Lonchura striata: one gene and its partners. The protein of the gene in region 1 purifies or fractionates together with the protein of each later gene. This does not show direct contact. Links are inferred from orthologs where the notes say so. Each region holds a gene or a part of one and is shown in the gene's direction. Other genes may lie near its edges. The genes, in order: GRB2, PTPN6 and DOCK1.

Region 1 (3,600 bases):
AGAGGCTTTTCTTGTTCAGAAACCACCTTTCCTTCCTAGAGCCATAGGAAAGCTTTTTTTATTTATGCCTTTATCAAAGGATTGAGGCCTGATGTTTACCTGAGCAACTGCTTTACTGTATAATTAAGAGTATTTTCAAGCTAAAAGAATGTCAGGAGGGTCATCCATGCAAACCCTGACATTAGCTGCCTGTGCAATCTGAATTTTTGTCTCTGTGGATGCTGTAATTGCCATGTGTGATTAAACTATTTGTTCCTACAGCATGGGTGCCTTAATCACTGCTCAGGAGAGATGGCAGTTGTCAAGGAACGGCTCACCAGGTGTGTTCTCTGCTCTGAGCTTTGGGAGCAGCTCTGCACGCCTCGGTGTCTGCTCAAACACTGCCTGGACAAGCTGGGGTGCATCTCTGGTAGTTAGAGAATTTCTAGATCAATTCCTCCTTGCTGGCTCCATGGTGTAGCACATGGCCCTGTCTTACAGAGAAGTGGAGACACTGACAAATTAAGCAAGTATTGTGCACAAAGCCAGCGTGATTTCTCCTCCAGAAACTCAGGGCCTCCTCCCCAAGGTGTTAACAGAGCCTCGATAGCAGAATCACAGACTCAATTTGGTTGGAAAAGACCACGGAGACCAGCGAGGCCAACCTGTGATCCAACACCTCGAGACCATGGCACTGAGTGCCAGGTTCAGTCTTTCCTTAAACACCTGCAGGGACGGTGCCTCCACCACCTGCTGGGCAGCCCGTTGCAGCGGTTCATAACCATTTCGGTGGAAAAATTCTTCCTGATATACAACCAGAACCTCCCCTGGCGCAGCTTTCACGCTGCGCTTTTGTCCTATGGCTAGTGGGCTGGAAAAGCCCGAGCCCCGCCTGGCTACGCCCTCCTTTCAGGTACCCGTGGCGGCCGGTGCGCGCCGCGCCGCTCGGCCGCCGCCTGTCCCCGCCCGCGGCCGGGGCAGGGCAGGTCGGGCCGGTGCTGCGCACGCGCGAGGCGTGCCCGCGCTGCCGGCGGGGCGGGGAGCGCGCAGGCTCCCGCGGAGGGCGCTGACAGCGCGGCTCTCGCGAGAGCTGCGGCGGGACCGGCGGCGCGGCGGGCGGGGGGCCGGGCCGGGGCCGGAGCGGCGGCTGAGGCGGCGCTGGAGCGGCGGCCGGGCCGGGCCGCGCGGGGCCGGGCAGGCGGCGGGAGCGCCCAGCGCTGCGCGGTGAGTCCGGGCCTGTGCAGGGCCGCCGCCCGCCGGGGGCCGTGCCGGGGCGGGGAGCGGGGAGGGCGCACGCTGAGCCCCCGGTGCCGCGGCCTGGGCCCCGCGGTGCTCCGCTCTCCTCGCTGCGCTCCGCCTCGGCGCCGGCCCCGTGTCCCGCCGGGCCTGGCCGGGTCGCGGGGGGTGGAGAGGATGCGGGCTCTGCCGGTGGGGGGGTGGTGGAAATGAGCTTTGGGCTCCAGAGGCGTCATCTGCTCGGCGAGATTCCCGGCTCGCGTACGGGCAGCACCGGGCGGGGGTCGCTTTTCTCTCTGCTCTAGGGCTGCGGCGTGTGGCTGGTCGTGGTTCTTGGGGCTTACCTTTTGTATTCCCCAAAACGAGTTCTGTAACTTAAGGCCGCTTCCAAAGGTTAAAATGCTGCAAGTACCCTGTAGGCAGGATAACATCCCTGCTACACTGTCTCCAAACACGTTTGGGGTCATGCTTCAAACGTGCGTTTCTGTGACGGAGAAGGACATTTTTCTCTTGGCCTCTTCCTTCTCTTCTGAACCTCCTTCTTCAGAACCAGTGCTGGTTTTGTGGGACAAGGTTTGACTTGCCAATATAGTTTCAAATAATCTGTAGAAGACAAGGATGCAGCCTTGTTAACTCCCACAACATCTGACTCAGACACCTCTTTTATAACCTACAGTGAAAACTATTCTGTAGCACAGTTAGTAACTGCAAGAGCAATTCACAGATACAGTGCTTAGGGAAGTTAATTCTTTGTTTCAAAAATTATTAAATGCCTGGGGTCAAGGGACAAAATCTGAAGGACCACAGATGGTTAATCAATCTTCAAACACAGTGTTGTTTGTAATCCATTTCTGTGCCAACTTTGGAAATTTAGAATTTGTGCCACAAAAAGACCTTTCAGTTGTTATCATCTCTTAGGTTGATTGTCATGCCATATTTGGGTGTTTCATCATACCAGCTAAGTTTGTAACTTTTAAAGCAGTTTTACAATGTTTAAAATAAGAAAAAAAAAAAAAAAAAAAGAACTGCCAGTAAATAAATTCTGGCAGAGGTGAAGTTTTCTGTGCTTTGTACTGTAGCTTAGTTTTGTAAGTAATATCTTGAGTTGTCTGGTGCTGAAGGAAGTTGAATCGCATTAAGCTGGTAGATCAGGGGGATAATTGTGATCCTGAATGTTCTGGGGTTTATATGTTAATAATCTAATTTATATTTTACTTTGTTCCTTTATTATGTTATACTTCCTTATTTGGTTAATTTGAATTAGTGTTCTGCCCTTACAATTTTAACTTTCTATTCTTTTGTCTAGAGCCTGACACTTGCATTTCTGCATGTCTTCCCGATGATGTATGCACACATTTTTCTTTCCAACACCCTCAATAATGTTTTGTCCTAAAACAGTTGATGAAGTTGAGGATCTGATTCTTTCCAAAATCTCCTAGTGAATCTATCTTGCCTCTCTTTGGCTTTTCTAAACTGTCTGTTGTTCTATTCCTGCCTGTATCACTTTCCAGAAGAGCAGTAAAACAGTGAAAAGAGAACAATGAGAAAGCTCTCTTTTGTTTAAAAACCATGCTGTTTCTAAGAGTAATGAAAAAAGCTCACCTTTGCCTGTGTGCTTTTTGAAATATCTGTTGAAGTGAGCATGAGAATTGTTTCCTGTTGGCCACTACAGGGAGGTTTGTATTTATAATTACTTTTATTCCATCCTGAGCTGCAGCACTACTACTAATGAGCATTTACTGTTGGCTGCATCTGCTGCCTTTTCTTCCTCTTACCCCTCCCAGTATTTTTAAGAGCAAAGGAAGTCTTAACCCAAGTCACAGTAAGGTGAGAAACACTGATATTTTGAGAAGTCTTAGTCATTTCTCTAGCAAGATCATCTGAAAATTTTTGTAACATGTAATCATTGTATTCATATATTGGCTGTTATTCATTCATACCAGTCTTACTCCACTTGCAGTCTGTGGACTGGGTTCACTGCAGTAACGTGTCCTGTTGCACTGCTCTCTGCCTGAACCAGATACAGCTGTGCTTTTTTCCCCACTCACGCAGTTGGCTTGCTCATGTTTTAATAACAGCATGGCTGAATGTGTGTAAGAACTTATTTAATAATATTGTAAGCAGCAAATGCTTCCTTAAGAGAATTTAAGGGAATTATGCCTTGGCTTTACCTTTCCTAATATTTGCTGTGTGAATATCTTGGTTTAATATTTTCAAAGCTTTTCCCTCTTTCAGATACAACTTTAATGCCTAAACTTCAGCTACACTTTTGTCTAAAGTCAGGAAAGTTAAAGTTTTGCTGCACACTGCAGCTGCTGTTAACATTGTTACCTGGAAACATCACTCCTTTGTATGCTGACAATATATCTGATGGTGGTAGTAGTA
Region 2 (7,847 bases), on another chromosome or scaffold:
TTCTCCCAACACCCCTTCAGATGCAAACAAAGCGTTCCAGGTCCCTTCCTGAGCAGCCTCTCCTGCCTGCGGAGGGTCCGGTCCCAGCCATCGGGGTGCAAAGCACTGCAGGACTGTTTGCAGGACGGTGGCTGTGCTTTCCCCAGCTGCCGGGAACGGGCACGGCCATGAGGTGCGAAGCACCAGCAGACTGTTTTGGAGACTGCCATCAGCACCGTGACCCCTCTGAGCCCCGTGGGGAGAGCTGGCGTGGCCCAGCGGTTACACTGCGTCCTGGGACTGTCTGTAAAGATGGTGGCTGCCCCTTTCCCCTCACCCATCCTAATTGATGTACTTTAACTCATGCACATCCTATTAGACGTGGCAGTTTTATGTAGCAACTTGTGACTCCCTTGCCCCCGCGTGCGTGTTCTGATTTCACAGTTGTATCTCTCGATTGGTCCCCCATATATTATATATATTTACTTAACCATTAAAGGAGAAAACAACCAACAACCCAGCTATGGAAAAGAAAGAAAAACAACCACCCAAACGATGTTCCCCACGCACTCCCAAGCCCTGACACACATTCTAATAATTTATATATATATATAAATATATATATGAAGCTCTTAAAAAAGGAAAAAAAAAAGACAAAAAAACCCTTTCAGAAACGGGACTCTGGTGTGTTCATTTCTTTCCAGTGGGGCTAGAACGGGAACGGCAGAAGCACTCCCGGTGAAAACTGGGAGAGGCTGGAAGCGGGCACCGCCTCGGGAAAGGCGCGGCGGCGCCGCGGGGAGGGGCGGGGCGTGCGCACCGCGGGCCAATGAGAAGCGATAAATTTGCATACGGGCCGGGCGGCACGGCCGGGTCCGTTCGGCGGCGGCGGAGCCGTCGGTATCGGCGTGGAGCGGGGCGGGGGGACGGCACCCGGACGGGGGCCCACGGAGGGGCTCGCAGGAGGGAAAAGCGGACCTCGCCCTCACCTCGGGGTGGGTCGGCCGGGAGGGGCTCCTCGGTCGTGGCGGAAGGCGGGCAGTGATTTCAGCTCTTTTAGAATTTGTCCAGCAGGTTTCCCGCGCTGGCGGGAAGCCGCTCCCACCGCGGTGCAATGGCAGAACGGGGCGGGGAGGCGCAGCCGCGCTCGGGCCGCGCCGCGCCGGGGCCGCTGCTCGGTCTGGCGCCGGAGCCGCGGCCGCCCCGCCGCGCCCCATGGCGGCCTCCGCGCAGCCCCCGGTGCCGCCGGCGCTGAGCGCGGAGCAGGCGAAGGGTGAGTGCGGGAGGCTCCGTCTCCCGGGCGGGCCGGCGGCGGGGCGCCCGTGCCGCCCGGCTGGACGCGGGGGGCCGGCGGGCGGCTGAGCGCTCGCGTCTCGCAGCGGTGCTGGCCGAGGTGATCAAGGCGTTCGGGGCGCCCGAGAACGCGCAGCGCATGGAGGAGGCTCGGGACAACGCCTGCAACGACATGGGCAAGATGCTGCAGTTCCTCCTGCCCGTGGCCACCCAGATCCAGCAGGACGTGATCAAGGCCTACGGGTTCAGCAGCGACGGCGAAGGTGGGTTGTTCCCCCGCCGGGCGGGATGCTCCGGGCCCGCCGGGGCAGCGGGGCCTCCCGCCCACCCCCTTTCCTTGCAGGCGTCCTGAAGTTCGCCCGGCTGATCAAGTCCTACGAGTCGCAGGACCCGGAGATCGCCAGCATGTCCGGCAAGCTCAAGGCCATGTTCCTGCCGCCCATGACGCTGCCGCCGCACGGGGCCGGCACTGGCGGAGTTGCCGCCTCCTGAGCCCGCGGAGTTCTCCCGGTGCTCCGGCTGGTGCCCTCCTTCCAAGGTGCGGGTCCTGTCAGCGCTGGGAACGGAGCACTTGAACAAGGGAGACGCGATCCTGGAAGGAATGGGATGTTTCGTGCCCCGCTCGTGTGTCTGCTCGTGAATAAAACGTGTGTTGAAAGTGCCCGTGTTCTATGAATGGCCGTGAGCTCAGCAGTGCTGCTCCCTGCTGCAGAGGCAGGTACAGCAGTGCTCTCTGCATGACACTTGCAACGCTGTTTTGGAAGGCCCAGTATGTGCCATCTTTTGCAAAAAGGTTTGTGCAGAGCCTCAGTGTGAAGCCCGAGGATCCTATATCAGAGTGACAGGTATTAAGCACTTTACAAGGGCAAGCATTTTCAGACTTTCTGTTTGAAGCATACTGGGAAATGCGTCCCTCAACACAATCTAGTGCTGTTCAGCAAGTGTTGTAAATGCCATTGAGGCTCCTGTCCCAGCAGGGTCAGTGCTAATTTACTCCTGCCCCCAGTGCCTGTGGCTGCCTTGTTTTGTGGCTGAATGTGCAATCCAGCACATTATCCTTAGTGCAAAAGGCAGCAGAGAGCTGCAGCAGGGAGTGTCCGAGCGTAGGAGGACTGGACTTGCCCCATTTTGCTGCAGCCTGGATTAGAACAACATAAACAACATACAATTTTTATCTCACGTTTTTTCTTGGACTGCAGAGGGATCAACCTAGTGGTGCAGCCTTGCTCCTTTGCAATATTTTCTTTCCAGTGTGGTTCAGAGGGACACCAAGGATGTCCGCTTGTAGCCTCCTGCCCTTTGTCCCTGTTGCCATTGGAAGAATTGAGTTATTTGGCGACAGAAGGGGGGAGAAAAGGGCTGAGCGTGAAGGAGCCAGGCCTGGGAGAGCAGGGAGCCAGGTGTGAGCGAGCTGCGTTCTGTGCTCCCGGTTACAAACCGGGCAGGAATGCAGCCAGCGAGGGCGTGAGCTCAGTGGATGGGAGGCAGGAAGAGCAGTCGGTCCCTTCCGTCTCCATCTACCTCTCCGAGCTTGGCCTTGGCCTTCCCCCACCCCTCTGATTATTCATTAACTACAGTCCAGGAAGTGCTTTGCAAATGGTGAGAATTAAGCCCGCGGCTTGAGGCCTGAGGTTTGCCTGACCTGGAGCTATCAGTCCGCCTGGGAGCGGGCGGAGTTCGGGGTTCGCCGGTGCGCGCCGGGCTCAGGTGAGTCACGGGAGGTGCTGCAGCCGCAAGCAGCGCCGGCTGCTGCTCAGCGCCCCGGCACTCACCGCCATGAGCATCCAGGCCACCTCTCCCCTAGCAAGGTCTTTGATCTCTCCCCCAAGTCCCTTTCAAGATCTTTTCTTGGTAATTCCAATATTGCTTTATTTTCTTTAGTGGGACCCACTTGGTTGAGGGCTGTGGTACTTCCTCCACCAGCTCCTGTCAGTCCTCCATCAGTGGGGATCTGAGAGACAAGACCCTGATGCCATCCCGTGGGTGAGTGCTGTGAATGCTAGTTAGGGCAAGAAAACAAGAGTTGCTGGTGAGAAAAATAAAAATAGCAGCAGTAGGAATCAGACACAAAAGGGAAAACCCCACAGTTTTTAATAGGAGCTGTCTATTAGAGGTAGCCAGAGGGCTGACTCCTCTGGTAGAGGTAGCCAGAGGATTGGAGCTTGCTGTGCTTTACATTTTTCCTGTTGCTCCTTCTCCCTTTGATAATGAGCAAACAGGGTTTGTGATGCCCAGTCTGCTGCAGTTCCTCTGCCACCCTGCAGCATCTCTGAATGGTTTTGCAGAGAGAGATGTCAACTGCCTGGCCTTTAAAATACTAGTCACTCTTTTATTTGCTGCAGTCTATCTAGCCCTTTATGGAACAAAAAGCAGGACATACAATCCTCACAGTCGGTCCAAACAGGTACCTTGCTCTGGAGGCTGCTGTGGAAGGGTGTCAGGAAATGGGATTTGCACTGGCATGGCTCTCTGGTAAGAATTTGGGTAACCACAGTGGTCTAGCACTGTGCTGGAGCCCCAAGGCCTGATGGAGAGCATGTGGCTTTGGCAAGTCACAAGAAGATGGTCCATCTGCCCGTCCCCAGGCAGCCTGTGCTCTGCACTAATGCCTGAATTACAGCAGACTTCCGTACAGAACAGCAAAACCTCCTGTCTGAAATCATCTCCATAACACATGCAATGCTCATTCTCAAAAAGGGCTCCAAATTAGCTCCCCCAAAATGTGAGGGAAGCATGGAACAATAAAGTTATTATCTGAGCAAAGGATGCACAGTATAATGGGGAAAGCAATGAATATGATAATAAAGAAAACACCAGCATCTGCTTTTGTAAAGGCAGATATGGTCCTGTAAAACTGGAGGGTTTTGAGGGACTTAGCAAGCTTGTGGTCTGGCCAGTACAGTTTGCTTGGATTTAAAGAATTTGACAAGATTTTCTCATCAAAGTCTTCAAATAAGGCTGAAATCACAACATTAAAAAAAGAAGGTGAAGGTTTTCCTGGGTAAAGATTTATTAGAGAATAGTAAATGGAAGGTGGGAATTAATATCCCATTTTTATAGCAAACGGAAGTCATCACTGGTCAGATCACAGGGGTCTTATCTGAAATACATGCTGTTCAGTATATTCCCAAGTTGCCTGGGAATACAGCTTGGTGAGGTGAGAAAATTGGATGATGATAGAAAGTTATTGAGGATAACAGGGTGGGAGTTGACTTGTGAATAATTTCAGAAAGACCTAATGATTGAGTGGGCAGTAGAACAGGAGATGAAAAGGCTTATGTAAAACAATGTTCATACAGAAAAATAATAGAAAAATTGCATATGCAACAATGACTGTGAACTAATGATAACCTCTCCTTGATTATAGAACTCCATGCAATTGTTAGCTTAGTGCTTGGTTATAGTGAACATCAGAAATCATCACTGTCCATGATTCACCAGCATTTTGGACACCACAGCTCTGTGCCCACTTTCACTCTTACCTCCAAATCAAAATGCCAGAATTGGAAATATCTCTGAGAGGGACAGCAAAGGTGGTCAGAGGTATAGAATAGTTCTCTACAAAAAGAAACCCCTTAGTAGGCCTGGAGTCTTCATCCTGGCAAAGAGTTGAGGATGGATACAGATGTTTCGGGTCTGTTACCATGAGCAGCTTGGAGCAGGGGGTGAGAAACAGGAATCGCCCAGATTTTTCTTTCTTTACAGCAACCAGGTGTTAAAAAAGAGGCAGGGAGCAGGTTATAAGCAAGTCAAAGGAGGGGGTGTTTCTGTAACTGAGCAATAGAGCTCTTTGCCAAAGGGCACAAAATTTGTTGTGCATTTGACAGTTGACTACAAGTAGCTGCTAACAGAGGCTTAGGAAGTAGGAGGGCAAAAGAAACTCTGTGCACAGTCTTTCTCTCTGCTCTTCCTTTGACAACCATTTTGACCTCTGGATTGCCTAGTCCCAGCCCTGCAGCTCCAAAACTAGCTCAGGTGGCTCAGGGCCTGAATGCTGACAGTGGCCAGGGTGGAGGTTCCTCAGCTGCTCTGGGGACCTGTGGCAAGTGCTGAACCCCCCTGGGGCGGAGCACATGTGCAGTTTCTCCTGATACCTAAGCAGAATTTCCCTTGCTGCAAGTGATGCCTGTTGCCTCTTGTCTTTATGTTGTGTCCCACAAAACAGAACCTGACTCAGCATCTCTAAACCCCCACGTTCCCTTTTAGGTAGTCTCAGAGAAGTGTTAAAGCCCTCCTTAAACATTTTTTCTTCAAGCTGAATAAACCCAGCTTGCTCTCTGCTATGCTCCAGGCTCTTCACTGCATTAGTGGCATTATGCTGGATCCTTTCCAGTTTCTCAGGGCCTTTTTTTTCTTGTAGAATCCAGATGTGTGTCTTTTAATTAGCTATTTCATTTATCTTCTGCTTTAAATTTTGTTACTGTGCTAGCTGTGGCCTGCTTCCCCAAGGGATTTACAAGATGAGGTTCTAACACCTGTGTTGTACTGAAAGCCAAACAGTGTAAGAGTAGTCTCTTTGCTGAAATCTCTTGACCTCTTAATTATATTAAAAAAAGTGGTTTAGTGGCTCAGTTATAGTCTTATTATATTTAGTGGCTCAGCTGTTCCATGCTGCAGCCATTTGGGAGAACAACCTTGAAGATACTGACTGATGGCTTCTCTGTGGTGACATTTCCTTTCCTTACTGGTAGTTTTTAATTAGATGGCCCAGATCAAACACACCAGGGCAGCTGTATGCATCCACTCCTTTCCTAAAATGAAAGCAAGCAGAAGCATAAAGTCATCCTATAAATTATGTAATATGGGATTTTTGTCCACAAAAATACTATCAAGAGATTACACTGCACCCTGTGGCTTGTCCTTCTGGAGGATACTGAGTTACATGGGATAAATGCTCTCTCACCCTTTGTTATTCTGGTCTGGGCTCTTTGCTACCTTTTTCTTTCCCTGTTCCTCTTTGTCCAACTAATGTTCAGTTCCTCAGACAGATTTTCTCCTTCAGTGTAGGGTGCAGGGGTGCCTAAGTTTTGGTTTTTGACTGCCTTGGCTTGGTATTTATTCTGCATACTCTAATATGCTTTTGATATTGGGAATTAATTTCTGGGACTGCTCCCTGGAAGTTCAGGCCTTTTCTCCCTTGGCTATAGACAACACTTGTTTCCTGTTCCTGCTAGACTGACTTAGGTGCTGTTTTTCTGGTGCAACTTCTACAACTTTGTGCAGAAATTCCCTTGAGTTGGTCTCATGCATTTAAAATGTCCTTGGTTTTTAATATCAGTTCTAAGTCAGTACCTCTGGCTGCCTGCAGCTCACCACACCCCAGCTCACCATGTGCATGAAACCAGAAGCATTTCTAAGGAAGCTGTTGTAGGTGCTTGGGTTGCCTTTCTAGCAATGAAGTTTAGCTTCCCACTCTTCTCTCCTGTACTTCCCTTTGTTGCTGGTTTCTGTCTTGGCCACGAGTTTTTGTCTAGGTCTTAGCTAGCAGCCTGTTCATCTTTTTGCAGGATTTCCCAGTCTGGTGGTGTGTGGGGAAGTCTGCTGCTGCTCGAAATGGGCAAGGCTCTTGCTGTTGCTATTGCTGCTGCCCACACCACACAGGGTAGCTGAGATGGCCCCAGGGAAAAGCCAGGCTCCTTTGCCAGCTGGATTGCACTCTTAGGCCACTGCTTAGCTCGCATTCTTTCACCAGACCTGCAGACCTTGAAGCCAGTCTTGTGGGCAGGGCAGTTGTGGGCCACAGCAGGAAGTAGCTATGTGACTGGAATGATTTTCCTTCTTTTTTTTTTGTACCTGGTTGTCAGCTTTGGCCTCAGTATGGAGTGCTGGGATTTTCAAGGTGCTCAGCTCAGCTCCCTCAGTGCTGTGTGGACTCTCTTTAGGTAGTAGCTGTTTGTCCTGGTCTCTGTCTGCCTTCCTGGGCAGCTGCACCACCCTCTCCCAGCCTTCCCATCCCTTCTGAGCTACTGCTGCCTGTGTCAGTCCCATCCCATGGCAGGCTGGTTTCAGGCAGGCACTGCTGTGCTCAGAACACTGGCCTGGACCTTGAAGCCTGCAGCTCTGGATTCACACGGATTCCCCTCTGTGCCTGTACAGAGCATGTGGGAAATTTGGGACCATTTGTGTTGCTCATTGGCCTTTTGGAAGAAAAGGGGAACAGGGGACGAGCAGAACTGAGTTTTGTGAACATGGCCAGAATCTAAGAAGCATGAGAAGAGTCAGCCCTTGTGTGCTAAAGGCAGAGACCCAAAAATAATAGGGGCTATGGGGAGGAAAGACGCAAAAGGAGAAGCAGAAGTGTATGCAAAGCAGCCTGGGGCTGCGGAGTGGATGGCTCAGAGCGCTTCCTGTTCCCGGAGCCGTGCGTGCCCCGCTGTGTACGGGCTCGTGGCCAGCAGCACTGCACAGCGGGCCAGAGAGCAAGGCACCTGTCCAGGAAAAGGTGGATGGAGAGGGTCTGCATGGACTGACTCAGCTCCAGGAGAGATACATGGCCAGCTCCCAAGAGGCACAGGAACAGTTTGGCATTGGGTGCCCCGGCACAGACCTCCGACTTCCCTTTCCTTTCCAGCGCA
Region 3 (7,847 bases), on another chromosome or scaffold:
GTGACAGATATTGGCACGTTCTTGTAAATGCAGCCCAGGGAGTTTCTGGTATTTAATGTTTGTCACATCCCACTGAGGGCAGAGCCCCACACGCTGCCCTGAAGGACAGAGCTGGGCAGGGCAGCAGAACATGTGAGAGATAAACAGAATAAACAACCTGGAAACCAGCACAGACCAATTATGGCTTCTGCTTTGGCAGCGGGGCTGAGAGACAGAGAATTTCTACAATCTGGGAATCATCAATACCTCAGATTCTGACACCTTGTAAGCTGCTTTTGGGAAGGCCCTAAATCATTGCTCCATTAGTGCAGGAGAACGAGGACAAGCCATGGCTTTGAGAACCTTTTGATGTCCTCACTCCTGGGCAGAATGAAGAAAGGTGCAGCAGCTGGCTCCAGCAGCCCTTGGGATTCTGCAGGACAGCTACAATAAAACCTGGATGAGTCTGAACACGTTGGTGATTTCCTGGGAAACCAACCCCAAGGGTGGGAAAAGGGAAGGTACATGAGAAGAGGAGCAGACTCATTCAGGGCTCTGAGCACTTGATCTCAAAAGCTGACAGCAAAAGTGCTGTTGCAGAAAATAGTCCTTTGCCATCCACACTACACAAGAAAATAAGGAGAAAAAAGATTCAACCCTGGATCTATCTTAATCCTTAAATTTGTGCTAAAGGGCTTCCCCTTTGTCAGAGGACTAATCCTAGCAAATGACAGCCAGTCTGTCATTTCACTTCTCTTTATTCCTTTTAAGTGTTAGCACTCTGCTGTTTCTTGACTTTTACACACTTTATTTTCTATTTCCTAAAGGCTTTAAAATTTATTTATTTTTTAAAGCACAGTCCTGGATGTCTCCAAGACGACAGGGATGTGGAACAGGAAGTTTCACTTCCCTTGCTTATTCTTTTGTAATCATTTATTCCACACTTAATTAAGCAGGAGATGCTAGATTTGGACAGGATTTTGGACTTGGGTCTAGAAATCAGAAGGTTTATAATCTTTAAGCTGTGTCCAACCTGGCCTTGGACACTTCCGGGGGCAGCCACAGCTGCTCTGGGCACCCTGTGCCAGGGCCTGACAGCCAAAAATTCCTTCCCAGTATCCCATCCATCCCTGCCCTCTGGCAGTGGGAGCCATTCCCTGTATCCTGTCCCTCCATCCCTTGTCCCCAGTCCCTCTCCAGCTCTCCTGGAACCCCTTCAGCCCTTGGAAGAGGCTCTGAGCTCTCCCTGGAGCTGCTTCTCTCCAGCTGAGCACCCCCAGCTCTTCCAGCCTGGCTCCAGAGGAGCTCCAACCCTCGGGGTGTATCCATGGCCTCCTCTGGACTTCCTCCAGCATCTCCACGTCCTTTTGATGTTGGATCCCAGGGCTGGAGGCAGCTCGGCAGGTGGGGCAGAAGGACAGAATTTGCCTCCTCCATACTGGTGTGGGATCAGTCCAGGACTGGAGGTTTTTTCCCCACACGGTTGGGGCATGTCCAGCTCTCACCAGCAGAGCCTGAGCCCTTCTCCCAGGGCTGCTCCATCGGTTCCCCCCATCGGTACCGGGGCTTTTCCCGGCCCAGCTACAACACCCGCACTCGGCCTCGCTCGACCCCAGTGTTCTTCTGGCCTCACATCCCGCTCCAACCATCAAACATTCCAAAAACCCTTTGTTTTAAAGCTGCACCTCCGTGGAGGATGCAGCCAGAGCCTTTGGGGCAGAGCACGACGGGGTGCACCTGGCACACAACCAGGGAGAGGCAGGGAGGTGCCGGGAATACAACCGGGAATAGGCGGGGAGGTACTGGGACATAACTGGGTGCACCTGGGACATAACCCAGAATAGGTGGTGAGGTACCAGGACACAGAATCCCAGAATAATGAGCTTTGAAGAGACCTCTGAGATCATCAAGTCCAACCTATGCCCTAACACCACAACCAGACCACAGCACCAAGTGCCAAGTCCAATCTTTTTTAAACACAGCCAGAGATGGTGATTCCACCACCTCCCTGGGAAAACAATTCCAGTGCCTTATTACTGTTTTGGTGAAAATTTTTTCCTAATATCCGACCTAGACCTTCCCTGACATAGCTTGAGACTGTGTCCTCTTGTTCTGTCAGTGCTGCCCGGTGGAAGAGACCGAACCCCCGATATAACCGGGTACACCTGGAACTTAACCGGGTACACCTGGGATGTAACTGGGAATAGGCAGGGAGGTACCGGGACATAACTGGGTACACCTAAAACACAACCGAGACTAGATGGGGAGGCACCAGGCACACAATGTGGAATAGGCGGGGAGGCACCCGGGACTTAACCGGGTGCACACATGGGACACAGCCGGGTACACCTGGGATATAAGGATATAACCGGGTGGACCTGGGACATAACTGGGTGCACACATGGCACACAACCGGGTGCACCCGGGATAAACAGATATAACAGGGTGCATCTGGGACTTAACCGGGAATAGGCGGGGAGGTACCGGGACATAACCGGGTGCACCTGGGACATAACCGGGTGCACCTGGAACATCACCGGGAATAGGCGGGGAGGTACCTGGGACATAACCGGGTACACCTGGGCTATAAGGATATAACCGGGTGCATCTGGGACTTTACCGGGTACAGGTGGGACACACCTGGGTGCACCTGGGACATAACCGGGTGTACCTGGGATATAACCGGGAATAGGCGGGGAGATACCTGGGACATAACCAGGTGCACGCATGGCCCACAACCGGGTACACCTGGGATACAAGGATATAACCGGGTGCAGCTGGGACTTTACCGGGTACAGGTGGGAACAGCCGGGTGTATCCGGGCCAGGCGGAGCGGCAGCACGCCCAAAGGCCGGCGCCGGGCGTGCGCTCCCTTTGTGCGGAGCCGCGGGCGGAGGGCGGCCGGGCCGGGCCGGGCTGGCTCCGCCCGCACCACATGACTCCGCCGTCGGGAGAAACTTTTCCCGTCCCGCGGTCGGAAAATGGCGGCGTAGGGAGCGGGGCCGTGGCATCCCGGCGGCTCCCGGCGCCATGACCCGCTGGGTGCCCACCAAGAGGGAGGAGAAGTACGGCGTAGGTGAGGACGCGCCTGTTGCGCACCGGGGCTGCCCCCGGCTCCGCGGATGGCCGGCGTGCAGCGCCGCGTTCTCCTCCGGTTCCTGCCTCCCCCGCCCTCCTCCCGGCTACTTGAGGGGTTGTCTGGGAGCCAGGGAAAGTTGCCTTTCTCCCTGGCTGCGCTGCTGCCGCTCGAGGTGTTTGTTTTCCCGGCGGCTCTCGCTGCCCGGCCGGGGCGCAGGCAGCGCGGTCCCGGCTGGGATGCTCGTAGGGATCGGGGCTTTCCTGCGCGCCGGGATCCATTTCCTACCCCGCTCCTTCCGTCCCGCCCGAGCAGAGCAGGATTGTTCCGCTGCCGGCCCGGACATCCCCGCTGGGACTCAACCGGACCAAACCCCGGTGAGGTTCGTGCTTCTCTCGGCACGAACCTCCCGAGTTTAACGATGTTGCGTTCGGAGCAAAAGGTTTTATTCCGGCGGTGCGGCGCAGAGAACTTTAGCGGCATGAATGAGCGCTTGTGTGGGGGAAGGAAATAATAAATTGGACTATTCAAATTGGAAACGTGAAGTTCAATGCCCGCCGCAGTTCTTGGGTTGGATTGATAGTGAGGAACAACTTTTCATAGAAACGCACAGCTAAACCTCATCGACAAAGCGAGCAGGAAGAAGGGAGTTTCTGAGGCTGAGTAAAGCCTGAGTGAATTGTGGGAATTAATTTTAAATCCTGTGTGTGTGTCCCTAGAAAACGACAGCTTGGCTTTTAAAAATGACTAGAAAAATCCTAATTCCAGTGTGTGGGACCTGTGGGTAATTCCAGCGCTGAGGATGCAGGACAAGCGCGGGGAAGCAGAAGTGCCACCGATGGCAGTCGCTTGTTAAGTTTCCAAATTTTCTGCCGGGTGGGGTGGGATGGATATTTCGGAATGACTGAATTGTCACGTAGAATGAGCTGATGTTAAAGCCAGTGACACTCGAAAGCAAGTTCCTCTTTTGCAGGAGGGCTGGTGCTGTGGTGGGAGGGACTGCCCAGGCCCAGCTTTCCAGGAATGTCTTGAAATTAATTTGAAAGTGGCATGAGAGAAAAAAGTGAAATAGATTTGTTTCGTAACATAGCTTCAGTGTACTTACATCTCCAGTGTGGGGGATTGCATGTGTGCTAAGAAAAGTGGGTTTAAATGTAATTTAAGGGTAAAAAACCCTTCCCAGTTTGAAAAAGCCCATGCAACGTGCCTGGTTGGTATTTTTTGTGTCCGCTGCTCTGCAGAGGTGTTTGCTATGGTTTTATAGTAGATTTATGTTTCTCTGATAGTTTGTTTTCTTTTTCCTGCAAGAAGGGAGAGATCCTCACCAAACGGGGATTTCTCTGCTGCATGACAGAGATGTGATGTGAGGGTTGAAAGTGGATGAAGTGTCACAAGGAGATAAATTTAGAGCTAATTGAACATTGGATTCACTGCCGGTGCCATTCTGTTATAGGCTTCTTTGGGCAGAATAGCTTCTTTTTGGTGTCCTCTGAAGAAAATGAATATTCCGTTTGGTTCTATGTGTTTTATGGACCTTTAAGAAAGCACACTGTGAGTCTTCTGATGTTTTAGCTTTTGCAGGTTGTGGGAGATGGAGAAGTTGATGCAACAGTTGTGTAGTCCCAAACAGAATTGGAGACAGCACTGTTAACCTGAAAATTCAGACTTGAGAATATTTTTTTTTCTATTTGCCATGATTAGTCCTGGGGTTGATGTTGACTCAGTATTGTCTGCCAGGGAGAAAATCCCTAATAGAAATGCTAATGGGACTTAGTGAAACATAATGTGCAGGGCTTTGGGTGTCTCATCAATCCATGCAAATATCTCCAAAAGGATGGAGTCACTCCAGTGGTGCTCCGTGGCAGGGTGAGGAGCAATGGCTGTCAACTAAGCCAGGAGAAGTTCTACCTCACCATGAGGAAAAACTTCTTTCCATGAAGGGTGGCAGAGCTCAGGAACAGCTGCCCAAGGAGGGCATGGAGACATCCCAACCCGCCTGGGTGTGTTCTGCTGCAGGTGGGATGGAGTGGATCATCTCCAGAGTTGCCTTCCAACCCCAAATATTCTGGGATTCTCTGTGCACGCTTCCCCAAGCAGAAATATTAGGAAGGTGTGTTGTGGCTATGTTTATTTCACAGCAGTGGGAACTCAGAAATGTACGTATGTCTGTATGCAGAGTTGTGTATATAGAAAACACACACACGTGCTTATATAACACATTTAAATCCCTTCTCCCCCTCCTCTGGTATATCCCTGTGCACAACAGAGTTTTTGTAACATCTCAAGAGGCGAAGATCCGCTGGCTGTGGTGCAGCTGGAGGAGTGATGCCAAGGAGCCTGTAGTGCCAGCTGGTAGGACACAGGTGTGTGAAGGAGCGCTCCCACAGTGGGATTTGGGGATGCTGCTGGATGCCCTGCGTGCCTCTGAAGTGCATTTGCTGCCCTGAGCCTCTGTGCAGAGGCATTATCTCAGCAGGCAGCTGGAGAGTGACTCAGCTCCGCTTCCTGAGCGAGTTCAGGAGGAATGGGTGTGGAGCTAATGGGATCATAGGGACATCAGGGTAACCTGTGGGGAGCCAGGCGGAACGGGGGCATCATCAGCTTCCTTGGAGGAGCTTTTCCCTGCTCCCCCTTGCTCCTCCTTGGCCTTCATCTCAATCCTGCCTTTCATCCCTCGCCCTGAGCTGGTGGGGAGGAGTGTGGCTCTGTGGAAGGGACCTCATGGGTGTGTGGCTTCCTCCACGGGGACATCAGAGGGTCCTGAGAGCTGTTTGTGTCCCCTCAGTGTCACACAGTGGCCATGGAGTGTGGCTGCTTAGTCTCTCATGCCTTGCTTTTAGTGTGATGTGAGATTTGTAATTTTGGTGCTTTTCCTTCTCCTGGGGAGAAGGGATGTAAGGAGCTGCTTTGGGAGGTCTGGGAGCCTGGCCAGCACCTCTGAGACAGTGCACAGTGCCTGTGGTAGCTTCCAAATCCTGAATTCTCCTGTTCTTTGCCCCTTTTCCTTTGGGCTGAGAATGCAGTGAGGTAGAACTGCTGCTACTGTGGATAAAAGTATGGTTTTTAAAATGCCTTTGTGTTCAAAGGTTTATGTTCGTATGGAGTAATCAGACCACTGCTGTGGTAGCTTTTTTTTTTTTTAAACTGAGTAAATGGTGGAACAGAAAATTAATACTATGTGCCCTTGGATGGTGAGGTGTAAAAGGAGAACTCTTCCCAGTTACAGAGCTTGAGTCCCCATCCATGAAGGGGTCCAGGGAAGGACTGGATGTGGCACTCAGTGCTCTGGGCTTGGTGACAAAGTGGAGATGGGGATTGGACTTTGACTTGATGGTCTTGGAATTTTTTTCCAAATTCAGTGAGTTCCAGTATTTTTGTTTGTTCCTGGTGAATTTTTCTTGTGTGTCATGACTTGGCAAATAATACCAAGCCTAATTTTAGGTGGGGACATTGGCCACACTTCATGGTCAGGGTGTTGTAGTGCCTCTCTGAGATTGGGAAAGCTTTTCCAAAGGGGTTTATGGAAATACCTTCACACCAGGTACACAGAAATGTATACATTTTATTATTAGGGGAGCTCTTTAAGGAGCTGGTGGACTAAGGTGGTGCAATGATCATGATTTAAGAGTTTTGTAGCTGAGTTTTGCTCTTGTAATGTCTCTCTGAAGGGGGGGGATAAGGATTTGTCAAGAGGAAATCCTACAGCTGAGTGCTGCTGCTTCTCTTCTGCTGCTTCAGGGAGGACTGTGGTGCTGTAGGTCAGATTTAAGGCTTTTTTGGAACCCTGGAGTCACAGTCCAGGCTGTGGGGAGCTGTGGTGGCATGTGGAGACTCTTGTTTAAGGTGATGATCTTGTGCATATTTGTGCCTCAGAGCAGGGAAGGAAACATTTGAAGGAGATGGAGAAAGATGCATCTTTGGAATGAATCTTGGTGATTTTAGTGGTGGTGTGCTGGGAGGTTTGGAGCTGCCTGGCAGGACAGGACAGGTGACTTCTGTCAGTGATGGCAGGGATGTGCTGTGACACATCCCAAGCCTGTGGAGCAAAAGTGGAAGTGTAAAATGTGTGCATGGAAGATTTGCTGCTGCATTGATCAGAGTGTTGGAGTGAGCACATGCAGGTTCAATTTCTTAGAGCCATCCCATGGACACCCAGCTCAGGTTTTATTTGTTACATCCCTCTGCTGGGAGGAAATGATGAGAGAATTGGGATTGTTCAGCCTGGAGAAGAGAAGCTTTGGGGTGACCTCATTGTGGACTTACAGTGCCTGAAGGAGCTGACAAGGAAGATGGAGAGAAACTCTGCAAGGGATGGAGGGACAGGACAAGGGGAGGTGGCTTTAAAATGACAGAGAATGTGATTAGATGGAATATTGGGAAGGAAATTTGTTCCCTGTGAGGGTGGGGAGTGGCTGGGATGGAATTCCCAGAGCAGCTGGGGCTGCCCCTGGATCCCTGGCAATGCCCAAGGCCAGGCTGGAGCAGCCTGGGACAGTGGGAGATGTCCCTGCCATGGCAGGAGTGGCACTAACGATATTTATTATCCATCCCAAACCATTCCATGCTTCTATTTTCCAATACCCTTTAATTCCCTGCTTGCTGAGGGTTGCATTTCTGTGCTGCCCCATCCTTGGCACCTCCTGAAGCAGAGGGCAGGGGCTGGAAGATGCACCACACCTTTTCCTGCAGGAATGACCTGAGTTGGACTGCAGGCTTGTGCCCAGCTCCTCCCAGTTTGCTCAGCAGCCACTATTGTTCTCTGTCAATAAACAGTTGTTGCAAACAGCAGATT

What was found.
Region 2: the proteins of GRB2 (region 1) and PTPN6 purify together in Homo sapiens (affinity purification with western blotting; 4 studies listed by BioGRID and IntAct, with this or other methods). This does not show direct contact. The link is inferred for Lonchura striata from reciprocal best matches to the Homo sapiens genes GRB2 and PTPN6.
Region 3: the proteins of GRB2 (region 1) and DOCK1 purify together in Homo sapiens (affinity purification with mass spectrometry; 5 studies listed by BioGRID and IntAct, counting the BioPlex papers as one, with this or other methods). This does not show direct contact. The link is inferred for Lonchura striata from reciprocal best matches to the Homo sapiens genes GRB2 and DOCK1.

The regions. Positions count from the first base shown.
Region 1 is NC_134621.1:5,254,929-5,258,528, forward strand, and holds the start of GRB2 (growth factor receptor-bound protein 2), read left to right. Parts: upstream 1-1,159; 5' UTR 1,160-1,203; intron 1,204-3,600. UniProt on the Homo sapiens protein: Non-enzymatic adapter protein that plays a pivotal role in precisely regulated signaling cascades from cell surface receptors to cellular responses, including signaling transduction and gene expression.
Region 2 is NC_134604.1:29,794,623-29,802,469, forward strand, and holds the start of PTPN6 (tyrosine-protein phosphatase non-receptor type 6), read left to right. Parts: upstream 1-2,673; 5' UTR 2,674-2,979; intron 2,980-3,153; 5' UTR 3,154-3,241; coding exon 3,242-3,255; intron 3,256-7,262; exon of another isoform or gene 7,263-7,847. Other genes in the region: C2H12orf57 (protein C10), read left to right, coding at 1,195-1,252, 1,359-1,535, 1,616-1,764. UniProt on the Homo sapiens protein: Tyrosine phosphatase enzyme that plays important roles in controlling immune signaling pathways and fundamental physiological processes such as hematopoiesis.
Region 3 is NC_134609.1:30,111,474-30,119,320, forward strand, and holds the start of DOCK1 (dedicator of cytokinesis protein 1), read left to right. Parts: upstream 1-2,898; 5' UTR 2,899-3,009; coding exon 3,010-3,055; intron 3,056-7,847. UniProt on the Homo sapiens protein: Involved in cytoskeletal rearrangements required for phagocytosis of apoptotic cells and cell motility. Along with DOCK1, mediates CRK/CRKL regulation of epithelial and endothelial cell spreading and migration on type IV collagen.